Linked DNA regions of Tribolium castaneum. The protein of the gene in region 2 purifies or fractionates together with the protein of the main gene of each other region. This does not show direct contact. Links are inferred from orthologs where the notes say so. Each region holds a gene or a part of one and is shown on either strand. Other genes may lie near its edges.

Evidence for each region. Proteins that work in one complex are often made in the same cells at the same time.
Region 1: the proteins of EloA (region 2) and Atu purify together in Homo sapiens (affinity purification with mass spectrometry; 3 studies listed by BioGRID and IntAct, with this or other methods). This does not show direct contact. The link is inferred for Tribolium castaneum from reciprocal best matches to the Homo sapiens genes ELOA and LEO1.

The regions. Positions count from the first base shown.
Region 1 is NC_087398.1:7,669,422-7,675,451, reverse strand, and holds the end of Atu (another transcription unit protein), read right to left. Parts: coding exon 5,634-6,030; intron 3,227-5,633; coding exon 3,075-3,226; intron 3,028-3,074; coding exon 2,659-3,027; intron 2,610-2,658; coding exon 2,394-2,609; intron 968-2,393; coding exon 784-967; intron 737-783; coding exon 621-736; 3' UTR 504-620; downstream 1-503. Other genes in the region: zinc finger protein OZF, read left to right, coding at 1-503. UniProt on the Homo sapiens protein: Component of the PAF1 complex (PAF1C) which has multiple functions during transcription by RNA polymerase II and is implicated in regulation of development and maintenance of embryonic stem cell pluripotency.
Region 2 is NC_087400.1:1,640,562-1,648,051, reverse strand, and holds the end of EloA (transcription elongation factor B polypeptide 3), read right to left. Parts: coding exon 7,076-7,490; intron 5,303-7,075; coding exon 4,693-5,302; intron 2,708-4,692; coding exon 2,493-2,707; 3' UTR 2,101-2,492; downstream 1-2,100. UniProt on the Homo sapiens protein: SIII, also known as elongin, is a general transcription elongation factor that increases the RNA polymerase II transcription elongation past template-encoded arresting sites.

The DNA of each region.
Region 1 (6,030 bases), on a different chromosome or scaffold from region 2:
ACCTGTGCAACGTCTGCGGCAAAGGCTTCGGCCAGTTGTCTTACCTCAAAATCCACTCGTTCATACACACCGGGGAAAAACCGTACAAGTGCCAAATGTGCGACAAAAGCTTCGCAGCGCCGGGAACTCTCATGACCCACATTCGCATCCACACGGGGGAAAGACCGCACGTGTGTAAAATTTGCGGCAAGGATTTCCCACAGTCGGGGTACTTGTCGGCGCATATTCGCACACACACCGGGGAAAAACCGGTCGAGTGCCACGTCTGCCATCGCCGGTTCAACCAAAGCGGCCGTCTGGTCATACACATGAGGATACACAGCGGGGAAAAACCGTTCTCGTGCAACGAATGCGGGAGGAGTTTTGCGGTCAAAGGGACGCTCAAGAAGCACATCAGGACGCATACGGGGGAAAGACCGTATGTGTGCAGTGTGTGCGGACAGGCGTTCGCCCAGAGCGGGACCCTGGCCACGCACATGAAGGTGCACAGGCCCAAGCCGTAATTTTTTGATTTTGTGATTTTTATTTGATCTCGTGAATCTAAATATGCGCAACTGTTAGGTTCAGTATTACTTACACTGTAATCAATCTTTATGTAACACAAATACAGTTTTTGATATTCACTCGCTTTCTTCGCTTGATTCTGAGTCCTTTAACGCCTTCGCCTTGTCAATTTTCCTCGCTCTCCTAGCCTCAATGTCTGACCCTTCCTCATCTGACGAATAGATGGCCCCACCTAAGAAAATATTAGAGCTTTTTGTTGTTCCCTAAGACGTCAACTACCTTTAGCCACTGTGGCAGCCCCCGACTTGTACTTATTTTTAATGGCATTGAGTGAAATAGCCCCCTCTTCATCGCTCCCATCCTCTTCTCTGTACACACTGCTGTTGTGAGACCGCGTCCCACTGTCACCCTTGCGCCGAGGTTTGCTCACGCGTACAGTTTGCCGCAACTTTTCTTCCTCTTTCTACCAACAAAATTCAAAAAAAAAATTAAATAAAAATAATCTGCTAAGAAAGGATAATAATACTACTATAGAACGCTATACCGACCCAGGTATTTAACACTCATTTGCTAAATAAAATATTTGATGTGCTAGACGTGGACTAAAGTTTTTTTTTAAATAAATGGAAAGAACAAACTCATTGACGTATTGCGTAAGGAGTAGTAAAAAGTGTCGCTCTTGCATTGATTAATTTTATTTTAATAATAATAATGAATAAACAATTATTATTTTTACCCATTTACTATTTTTTCATAGCAATACGTTATTAATAATTAACTAATTAATAGTAATTAATTATCGTTGGAAATCTCTTTTAATATTCTATTTATTTCAAAAAAGGTCATTGTTCTCCAATTAATAGTTTTGGAGAAAACTGCAAAAGCAAAAAACAATTACTATTGAAAATTCAGCGATTTGCTAAACGCCAACCGAATTTGGGAATCCCCAGATCATTCTACCTAGGATTACAATAAAATAATTCCCCTTTTCCGAATAGTGTTGCCGCAATCGACATTGAAAGAACGAGTGTGTGAATATTTTAACATGTTTTTAATATTCATCGGTCAATAACTCCATAACTATTACACGTATCCCATCATGTTTATTATCGTTGGAACGCTCTTTTAATAATGTATTTTTCTCAAAAAAGATAATTGCTTTCCGATTAATAGTTTGCGAAAAAATTGCAAAAATTGAAATAAAATTCATAACTCAAAAACTATAAAAAATTTGGCGCTTTTCTCGACGCTAGTCGATTCCCCGGAACAATTTACATAAGTCTGCACTAAAACAGTTTAATTTTTTCCTAAAATTTTGTCGTAATCAACGTTTAAAAGCGAGTGTGTGAATATTTCAACATGTTTTTACATTCATCAAGCAATAACTCAGGAACGAATAGACGGAACCGTATTAAGTTTATTATTGTCGGAAAGCCCTTTTAATAAACTATTTTTTCCAAAAAAGATTATTGTTCTCCAATTAATAGTTCTCTTAAAAATTGCGAACAAATGCAAAAATTGAAAAACAACTTAAAAACTATTGAAAATTTGGCGAATTTCTAAACGCCAATCGATTTCCCACATCATTCTACACAGGTTTATAATAAAATAGTTACACTTTTTCGAATATTCTTGCCGTATTCGGCGTTTGAAGAATGAGTGTGTGAACATTTCAACATGTTTTTGACATTCATCGGACAATAACTCGTCATCCCATTAAATTTATTATCGTTGGAAAGGTCTTTCAATAATCATTTTTCGTCAAAAAAATTATTGTTTTCCGATAAATAAGTTTTCGAGAAATTACTAGATGCTGTCCATGACGGTTTTGTTACTTTTTAATGTACTTAGCGTTTAATTTTTTTCCATTTGCTAATTCGAAAAATCACCTTCAAGAGAAGTTTCCTGTCATGGTCGGGATCAGCTCCGACTTGCGACAAGATTTTAATCCCGGAAGTCTTCTGCGACCTGTCTGCAAGCGACAAGGTCATTTTCCTGTGTGTGAAACTTTCGGTAGAATGTGGCCTGAAGCTCAATTTGGTCCTAAACACAGCCTGGCCTTGGAGACCGGTGCCTTGTCTGATAAACAAGTGATTGTGGTCACCCTGTAAATTATTGTTTTATGAAAAAGTGCAAAAAAATCGAATTATTAACCTGGAGTGGTTGTTTGTAGACGTCAAAAATTTCAGAACCTAAGTGTAAACTGTAGGAACCATCCGACCACCGAACAAGTCTTGCATTTGACTCTTTCTTGACATTGCCCTCTTTATCGACGGCTTCTCGCCACCGTATCGTGTTCTCGACCTTCAACTTCAAGCGAGCGCGTCCTTCTTCATCCAGAGTTTCCTCTTCGTCAATTTCATCTTCGTAAGTTTCGGGATCAAAAGGTCGCGTTTCGACTGAAAGGAAATTGGGGAGTTTGACGAAGTGGATGTCGCGACCCAAGTCGCAACTGATTTTGGGTATTTCGACGTCGATTCGCGTCTCTGGGATTTGTTCCGGTTCGTTTTCCTTATCTTCGTCCTGAAATACAATCATTACTCGACTTTTCGGGGAAATAAATAACTGACTTCGTCTGGTTGTCTCTGCTCATGTTCTTCCTCTGAATGGTGCTGCTCTTCTTCACTGGCTTGTGCCTCTTTCTCTGACTCGGCCTTTTCTTTTTCTTCCTCGCTGCTTATGTCATCCGCGTCGTCTCCAAAAATGGCAGCAGCACTGACCTCTGTGATCACAGTTTTTGTCAAATTTAATACCTTTATTGCATTTATTTAAGACAGAAATATGTATTCGGACAAAGAGGAATTTTAGAGATTTTTCTAATATTAGTACAAAATTAGAACGTAATGATTTCATATTTTCCTATCCACGTAATCTATAAAATGTAATGTTGGTTACTTAAAAAATTTTTTAAGGCTCATTATTACTCGTGGATCACACTGTATAGTTTGTAATGTTGATTTACTTAAAAAGTTTGTGTTAAAATATCTGCAAAACACGGTCAGTGTCTGGGGCCTCGTGGCCCAGTGGTATAAGCGCCACTTACGGCGGGGGAGGTCGGGTGTTCGAACCCGGATCACGGCAACAATTTTTCTGAGAAAAAAAGTGTAGAAAAGGTAAGTGAAACAACACGTAAACAAAAATAAGGGATTGAAAGAACACATAGACGTATAGAAGTAAAGCGGAGCATAAAACTGAGAGAAATAAGAAAATGCGGCAAAAATGTAAAAGTACGTAAAGGCGCCAAATTGTAAACGTACTTTTTGTTTTGAGAGAAAAAGAGACGAACGTAAAGGTAAAATATAACTTCAAACTTTAGTTGACTTATACGCTCGGTATCTTTTGATGGAATTTGATGAAAAATTAGAGAACTAAATTGAAATAAGTGGAAAAAAATGCTTTCTCGAGCTAATTCCCCGACTTTTAACTGAAACTATTTGCGTTTTAGGTAAATTATTGCAATTATAGTTTGTAATGTTGATTTATTTAAAAAGTTTGTATTAAAATATCTGCAAAACACGGTCAGTATCTGGGGCCTCGTGGCCCAGTGGTATAAGCGCCACTTACGGCGGGGGAGGTCGGGTGTTCGAACCCGGATCACGGCAACAATTTTTCTGAGAAAAAAAGTGTAGAAAAGGTAAGTGAAACAACACGTAAACAAAAATGAGAGATTGAGAGAACACATAGACGTATAAACGTAAAGCGGAGCATAAAACTGAGAGAAATAAGAAAATAATGTGGCAAAAATGTAAAAGTACGTAAAGGCGCCAAATTGTAAACGTATTTTTTGTTTTGAGAGAATAAGAGACGAAGGTAAAGGTGAAATATAACTTCAAACTTTAGTTGACTTATACGCTCGGTATCTTTTGATGGAATTTGATGAAAAATTTAGAGAATTAAATTGAAAAAAGTGGAAAAATATGTTTTTTCGAGCTAAATCCCCGACTTTTGAACTGAAAGTATTTGCGTTTTAGGTAAATTATTGCAATTATAGTTTGTAATGTTGATTTATTTAAAAAGTTTGTATTAAAATATCTGCAAAACACGGTCAGTATCTAGGGCCTCGTGGCCCAGTGGTATAAGCGCCACTTTCGACGGGGGAGTCGGGTGTTCGAACCCGGATCACGGCAACAATTTTTCTGAGAAAAAAAGTGTAGAAAAGGTAAGTGAAACAACACATAGACAAAAATGAGAGATTGAGAGAACACATAGACGTATAAACGTAAAACGGAGCATAAAACTGAGAGAAATAAGAAAATAATGCTGCAAAAATGTAAAAGTACGTAAAGGCACCAAATTGTAAACGTACTTTTTGTTTTGAGAGAAAAAGAGACGAACGTAAAGGTGAAATATAACTTCAAACTTTAGTTGAATCCTTAGATGACTTACTTATACACCCGGTATCTTTTGATGGAATCTGGTGAAAAATTAGAGAATTAAATTGAAAAAAGTGAAAAAAAATGCGTTCTCGAGCTAATTTCCCGACTTTTGAACTGAAACTATTTGCGTTTTAGGTGAATTTTTGCAATTATTTAGTTTGTAATGTTGATTTATTTAAAAAGTTTGTATTAAAATATCTGCAAAACACGGTCAGTATCTGGGGCCTCGTGGCCTAGTGGTATAAGCGCCACTTACGGCAGGGGAGGTCGGGTGTTCGAACCCGGATCACGGCAACAATTTTTCTGAGAAAAAAAGTGTAGAAAAGGTAAGTGAAACAACACGTAAACAAAAATAAGAGATTGAGAGAACACATAGACGTATAAACGTAAAACGGAGCATAAAACTGAGAAATAAGAAAATAATGCGGCAAAAATGTAAAAGTACGTAAAGGCGCCACATTGTAAAAGTACTTTTTGTTTTGAGAGAAAAAGAGATGAACGTAAAAGTAAAATATAACTTCAAACTAATTTATGTCTAAAAATTTGTATGTATGTAAAATTTATTAAGTGCACACGAGCGTCTTTCTTGAATTTTCTACTACGACTTTCAATATTACGTCCAATTATTGATAACTAGCAGCTATCCTTTTCATTATTTATGTAGAAATATCTTCTTGAATTATTTTTTTATAGCAATCAAGTAATTATTATTTCGTACACATGACAAAAACTCTAAACCTATGAGGTTATTACCTTTGTCATTTTCCTTTCCTTCTTCTCCCTCACTATCAGAGTCAATAATCCGATGCTTCTTTTTGCTAGTCCTCTCTTCAGAACTGTCCCTTTTCCTCTTATCCCCTTTGCCACTCTCAGGTGACCCAGGCTCGTCAATTTGCAAATTAGGGCTATTAGACCTGCTACGACCTCCCGACTCCGGTCTCTTCTCCTGCGACTGTGATCTAGACCTAGACCTGGACCTCCGCGACCTATTCGATTCTGCACTTTTCGACCTGGACCTATTAGACCCCGCACTCTTCGACCTGGACCTATTCGACCCCGCACTCTTCGACCTGGACCTATTCGAGCCCGCACTCTTCGACCTGGACCTATTCGAGGCCGCACTCCCCGACCTAGACCTCGACTTGCTACT
Region 2 (7,490 bases):
AATTCAGTAACTTAAAGTAAAATAAAACACTCAAATAATTTATTGCCACTTAGTAATTTTGTCTTTAATTTCAATGAATGAAAGTGGCTTCAAAATTTAATGCGGATAAACATTTTTTTTTCGGACTCATTATTATTATTATTATTATTTAATGCTACAAACGGTAGCCAACGTGGAAGCGATCTGAAGGTAAGGTGTATTTTATTGCTGTGTCGTATCGTATTTATTTAATTCACAAACCAATATTTCCTCAAAATTTAATTGCAATAAAATAACACCGACTCTAAATGCGGTGTTGAAAAGTCATAGTTTGAGTGACTCATTTTAAATTCAGTAACTTAAAATAAAATAAAACACTCAAATAATTTATTGCCACTTAGTAATTTTGTCTTTAATTTCAATGAATGAAAGTGGCTTCAAAATTTAATGCGGATAAACATTTTTTTTTCGGACTCATTATTATTATTATTATTATTTAATGCTACAAACGGTAGCCAACGTGGAAGCGATCTGAAGGTAAGGTGTATTTTATTGCTGTGTCGTATCGTATTTATTTAATTCACAAACCAATATTTCCTCAAAATTTAATTGCAATAAAATAACACCGACTCTAAATGCGGTGTTGAAAAGTCATAGTTTGAGTGACTCATTTTAAATTCAGTAACTTAAAATAAAATAAAACACTCAAATAATTTATTGCCACTTAGTAATTTTGTCTTTAATTTCAATGAATGAAAGTGGCTTCAAAATTTAATGCGGATAAACATTTTGTTTTTTTTTCGGCCTCATTATTATTATTATTATTATTTAATGCTACAAACGGTAGCCAACGTGGAAGCGATCTGAAGGTAAGGTGTATTTTATTGCTGTGTCGTATCGTATTTATTTCACAAACCAATATTTCCTTAAAATTTAATTGCAATAAAATAACACCGACTCTAAATGCGGTGTTGAAAAGTCATAGTTTGAGTGACTCATTTTAAATTCAGTAACTTAAAGTAAAATAAAACACTCAAATAATTTATTGCCACTTAGTAATTTTGTCTTTAATTTCAATGAATGAAAGTGGCTTCAAAATTTAATGCGGATAAACATTTTTTTTTCGGACTCATTATTATTATTATTATTATTTAATGCTACAAACGGTAGCCAACGTGGAAGCGATCTGAAGGTAAGGTGTATTTTATTGCTGTGTCGTATCGTATTTATTTATTTCACAAACCAATATTTCGTTAAAATTTAATTGCAATAAAATAACACCGACTCTAAATGCGGTGTTGAAAAGTCATAGTTTGAGTGACTCATTTTAAATTCAGTAACTTAAAATAAAATAAAACACTCAAATAATTTATTGCCACTTAGTAATTTTGTCTTTAATTTCAATGAATGAAAGTGGCTTCAAAATTTAATGCGGATAAACATTTTTTTTTTCGGCCTCATTATTATTATTATTATTATTTAATGCTACAAACGGTAGCCAACGTGGAAGCGATAAATAAAGGTAGGTGCATTCTTTGTGTTTGTCTTATGAAGTGTTATATTTAATTGTTTTAATGCCATATATTATAACGTATTGTGTATTCTTTATTTTGTTTAATATTGATATACGTCACTTGTTGTAATTTTCATGCAAATATTTTTTATTGGTGTTGTTTTTATTTTTTTTTAATGCTACAAACGGTATGAAGTGTAATATTTAATTGTTTTAATGCCATATATTATAATGTATTGTGTATTCTTTACTTTGTATAGTATTGATAACAGTGGCTAGTTGTAATTTTCATGTAAAGAAAGATTTTTTATGGTGTTGTTTTTACTTCGCTATGCGAAGTTAGGTTCATTGTATTATTTTTGTGTCGTATTTTTTTTTTCACAAACCAATAATTCCTTTATATTTCCCAATAATCATTGTTTACCTCATCCTTATTTCCTTTTTTCCTGGCGAGAAAGCTCTAAACCTCCACGTGGTTCTTGCTGGACAAATTAGTTATTAATTTGACTAATTAGAGCAATCCTTGAATATTTAGTTTTACCCTGTTGTAAAGTTTTTAATTTTATTTATTTTTTGTAAACTCAAGTGGGGTTATAAATAAAAAACCGTTTCTTACTGGAATTGTTTATTTGCCTGTTCTTTGTAAAAAGAACATTGTGCTCCAAAATCCGTTCCTGATTTTTATTTAATCACCTACTTAATGCCTGCCTTATCTATAAAAATATTTCAACTATTTTAAAACCGTGATTTACATAATTACATTTGCCACCAATAATAATAAAAATAAAACCTCGACGAAATGAAATATACACAATGAAGTAAAATGGAAAAAGATGATACAATATAAATAATTACAATCACATAATGACCTGACAAAAACTGTCAAAAACTTAAACCACGATGAAGTAAAACCAATCACTACCTAAAACACTTGATCAATAAAATAATCTAAAACTTACAGCCAAAATATATCGAATCTGAATCGAACACAGTCTTTCGGTTATCTCTTGAACCTGTTTTTGAACGAACTTATGCTTTTTAACATAAGGGGGGCTTTCTTGGGCTTGGCGTGGGCCGAAGGTCTTTCAACGGCTCGACTTCCGGGGTTTGGAACTGACACTTTTCCGGCCTCGCCTGCCGTTGCCAGAGAACTCAGTTTTGCTGAAGCGGTTTTTCGGACGTCGAAAGCCGTCCCATTTTTTGCTTGTTTGCGAGCTGAAAGATCAAAAAAAATCATAACTCAAAAACTAAAAATCGTAGAGCAATGCGGTTTGTTCCATTGAATTTAGCGGCTCATTTTCCGTATTATACCAACTTTTCATGAGATTTAAAATTTTTAATTTTTTTGCTTAAAATTTCCCTGAGTAAATACACTTACCTTCAAAGAGGTGAAAAAAAATTTTTTTTTAAACTTACTCCAGTAAATTTTTATGGACTTTTACATGTCTTAACAACCCACAAAAGTTGTTAAAAGTCCACAAAAAGTCCATATGTTCGATTTTTTGATGTTTGATTTATTCAATTTTCGTCGCAAATTTTGTCGATTTTGGGTACCCGGAACATTTCTCGAGCAATAGCTCCGGAACTATTAGAGATAACCTCATGAAGTGTATTATCGTTGGAAAGCTCTTCAAATTCTTTATTTTTTTCAAGAAAAATTATTGTTCTCCGACTAATACTTTTCGAGCAAATTGGAGACAAATGCAAAATTTGGTAAAATTTAAAAAAATTCATAACTAAAAAACTATTGGGAATTTGGCAATTTTTTTGATGCCAATCGATTCCCCGGATCATTTTGCATAGGTATGAATCAAAATAGTTCCACTTTTTAGAATAGTTTAGCTGTAAATGAGAAACTAAAAAAAAATTAAAAAAAGTTAAAACCCCCCCTTAGAAATCGGTCAATTTTTAAAGTGTCTCAAAATCAAATAAAACCGATTCTATCTTATAGGCTTTGATGTGCTCTTTCCGATGGAAAAAAGCGTTTTCTCCTAGCTCTTTTAGTTTGGCCGTAATCGGCGTTTGAAAGTTGAAAAATTTTTTGCGAGATATCGCCTTTAGTTCTATGCCATTTTGTAGAGTTTTTTATTCCGGTTATTCTTTATTTTTCCGTTTCTCGATAACTCTAATAGTTTCGCCGTAATTGGCGGTTGAAAGTTGAAAAAAAGTGAAAATGGAAACCTTTTTTTGCGTTTCTCTCGGAAACTGTAAGACTTAAAGCAACGAGCAAAAAACCATCTGATAGCGCTTATTTTTCTCAATTTTTTCGTTCAAACCCGGAGCCGCTCCGGGCAACGGTTCCGGCTACAGAGGCGATCAAAGTTTTTAACTAAAAAAATTCATAAAAAAAAAACTAAAAGTCGTAGAGCAATGCAGTTTGTTCCATTGAATTCTACGGCACATTTCACATAATATATCAATTTTTCACAAGAATAAAAAATTAAAATTTTTTTGCCTAAATTTAGCGTAGCCATTATTTATGGTGGACAATTTTATTGAACAAAAAAATTCATAACTCAAAAACTAAAAGTCGTAGAACAAAACGGTTTGTTCCAGTAAATTCTGCTGCTCAAATTGCTTAAAATACCAGCCTTTTCACAACACTAGCTTACCCGAGAAATTTTTTAAAAAATATTTTAATTTTAAAATTGGTGGATGCGCCGGGTTATATTAAAAAATTCATAACTCAAAAACTAGAAGTCGTAGAGCAACGCGGTTTGTTCCATTGACTTCAGCGGCTCATTTTCTGTATTATACCAACTTTCACGAGGTTTAAAATTTTGAATTTTTTCCTAAAATTTCACATACCTTCAAGAAAGTGAAAATTTTTTTTTTAAAACTCGTATTTTTTTGAAATTGAGATCCCTCTAGAGTAGTTAAAAGTCCACAAAAAGTCCATTTGATCGATTTTTTGATGTTTGATTTTTTCAATTTTCGTCGCAAATTTTGTCGATTTTGGGTACCCGGAACATTTCTCGAGCAATAGCTCCGGAACTATCAGAGAAAACCCCATGAAGTGTATTATCGTTAGAAAGCTCTTTAAATCATCTATTTTTTCAAAAAAAATCACAGTTCTCCGACTAATAGTTTTCGAGAAAATTGCAAATAAAAGCAAAAATTGGCCACATTTTAAAAAATTCATAACTAAAAAACTACTGGCAAGGATTAAAAATAGCCAAGGTAACAGCAGTCACACCAACCTATATTTCTAGGGGGTTTGGCCACCGCATCCACATATGCCAGCTTGGTCATCCTGACCGGAAGCGACTTATCTTGCGCTTGTTTTATATTCGCTGTCAATGCTTTAAGTTTGGCGTCTCTCTCATCCAAACATCTCAGGTACATTTCGCGCCACGTCTCCAACTCCTCTCTCTTTTTATTTCTAAAGTCCTTCTGACAATGCAACTGCCACAACTCGTCTGTGTCTTCGATAAGATACGGGTTATGGTGTTCCATTAAATAAAGTTGATTCGGGTTGGCTTTTTCCAAAATCGGCTTAAGGACGTTGTAAGGAACTCCCCCAGTGTACTCCAGAGCATCGATATTATCCTGAAGGACTCGAATACACAGATCGAACAGCGAGGCCACTTTCCCGCAGCCCATTTTATTGCCAGAATAGACTTTCGTCCTTTGGTTTTTCGAGGTGATAATGCTTGTGAGCGCCTCCGATTCGGACATGAATTTTTTGTGGTGGCTGTCCGAAGGGAGCAAGTTGCCGAGGGGGCGGTAGTTGGGGGTGATTGGAGGCAGTAGGCTTGAAATGTTGAGATCTATGGGGTCCAGGGTCGGTTCTTTAAGGAGTTTGGGGACCTGTGAAGAAGAGGTTCATCTAAACATCACTACGATCATTTAGTTTTATGTGTATATTGCAAAAAAAACTCGTACAAAATCAAAATGAAAAACAACTCTTCTGTTCTTTTTGACCCATAACAAAAAATAAATAAATAATAATAATAAATTGAGACTTCCTCCCAGTTTTTAGAACCCAAAAATAATTCGGATGGATTCCTGGATCTGCAATATCAAAATATTTGGTATAAACAGAACATAAAAAATAAAAAATACGTAATTAATTTTAAATAATAAAAGAGTGTAGGAAAATTCTGAAAAAATTCATGTAGGCACAGAAAAAAATTAAGTATTTAAGCAATAAATTTATAAAAATAGTTTAATTAAATAACGGTTAGCCCAAAGCGAATAAAAAAATACAGACAGATAAAGCACCAAATTTTCAATAATTGGAGATAAAAATAGTGCAAAAATTATATCTTAAACTATATTTAAAAAAATTTCAAAGTTTTACCAATTTGCACTCTGCCCCATATTTTTCAAAACGCTGCGAATACGGTTACAGATACAAGAAAAATGTTCAGAGGAAAGTTGTAGAGAATTAAATTTCCTTTAAAAAAGTCCGCGAGACCATATCCCTATCTTCAACCATTTAGGCCCCAAAGTCATTCAAAGACGCTCAAGCGATGGATTTCCATCATTTTGCCGGTGGTCAAGTATTGGAAAATAAATTTATACCCAAACCGTTGAAGATAGACATATCGTGTCGCGGACTTTTTTGTAGGAAATTTAATTCTCTACAACTTTGTTCCTTACACTTTTTTTGTATCTTCAACCGTATTCGCTGCGTTTGCAAAAAGAACGCAATAATTCTAAGCGATAATTTTTGGGCACCGTCGCCTATTTATCAAAACGCTGCGAATACGGTTAAAGTTACAAAAAATTGAAAGGAACGACGTTGTAGAGAATTAAATTTGCTACAAAAAAGTCCGCGACACCATATTTCTATCTTCAACGGTTTGGCTATAAATTCACTTTCCAATACTTGACCACCGGCAAAATGACGCAAATCAGTCGCTTGAGCATCTTTGAACGTTTTTAGGGCCTAAACCGTTGAAGATAAAAATATGGTCTCGCTGACTTTTTTAAAGGAAATTAAATTCTCTACAACTTTCTTCTGAACATTTTTCTTGTATCTTTAACCGTATTCGCAGCGTTTTGAAAAATACGGACCGGAGCGCAAATTTTAAATCTTAAATAATTTTTTTCTCATGTTTCTCAATAAATTTCAGTCCTCACTTTTTCCCAGTCTGTTGAGAATGCAAAGCTCAACATTTCTGCATTTTTCCCCAGTAATTAGTAAACTGGTTGAATTTAAATTAATTTAAAACGATTTGACACCGAGACGGGATGACGCTCGAGGCGCCCTCATTTTTACACCGCCGTACTACATCTTTGGGAGCGATTTTGTATCTCGTTTCGTCTCCTAACTTATAGTCTTTCGTAGTCAGACCTTGATATTGCAAGATATTCTACTAAAAATTGTCAATAATAATTAATCCAGGAAAAACAAAGAGGAATTTTAAAACTGTTCAGTTTCAGTTATAAGTGTTTGTCACCGAATTAAAATAGTAAAATATTCTCAAACAAGTATCAGATTACGAAAATTACGTCTGTTTCATTCTGATACTGATAACGAAACTTTTAGTCATAAACTAGATAGGTACACATTCCTTACGTTTCTAAAAAGTGTGTTGTTTTTGTCATTTTTTTCAAAAACTTAATAAAAATTACCGTCTGGTCCGTTGACTTTTCCTTCTTCTTCTCCACTTTCTCCACCTTCTCCACTTTCTTCTTCGCACTATTCTTACTCGACGAAGGCTCACACATGCCCAAAGCCTCCGCAAAACTAGCCCCCGATCCCGAATCAATCCCATTAACCAAATTCCCATTCAACTTCTTCGAACTTTTGGTCTTCTTCTCATCACTTTTCTCCCTCTTCTCATCCTTAATCTTCTTATCCTTGCTCTTCCTGTCGTCCTTCTTTGATTTATGTCTACCACTGTCTTTCTTCTCTTCAAAATCGGGGGCCGCAGCTTTGGCTTTCTTCGCCGCCTTGTGTCTTCGTTCTTCGTCACGTTTGCTGCTTTTCTGGCGCTCTTCCTCCTTCTTGGGGCGCTTTCGCGCCGTTTCTTCCTCACTACTCGAC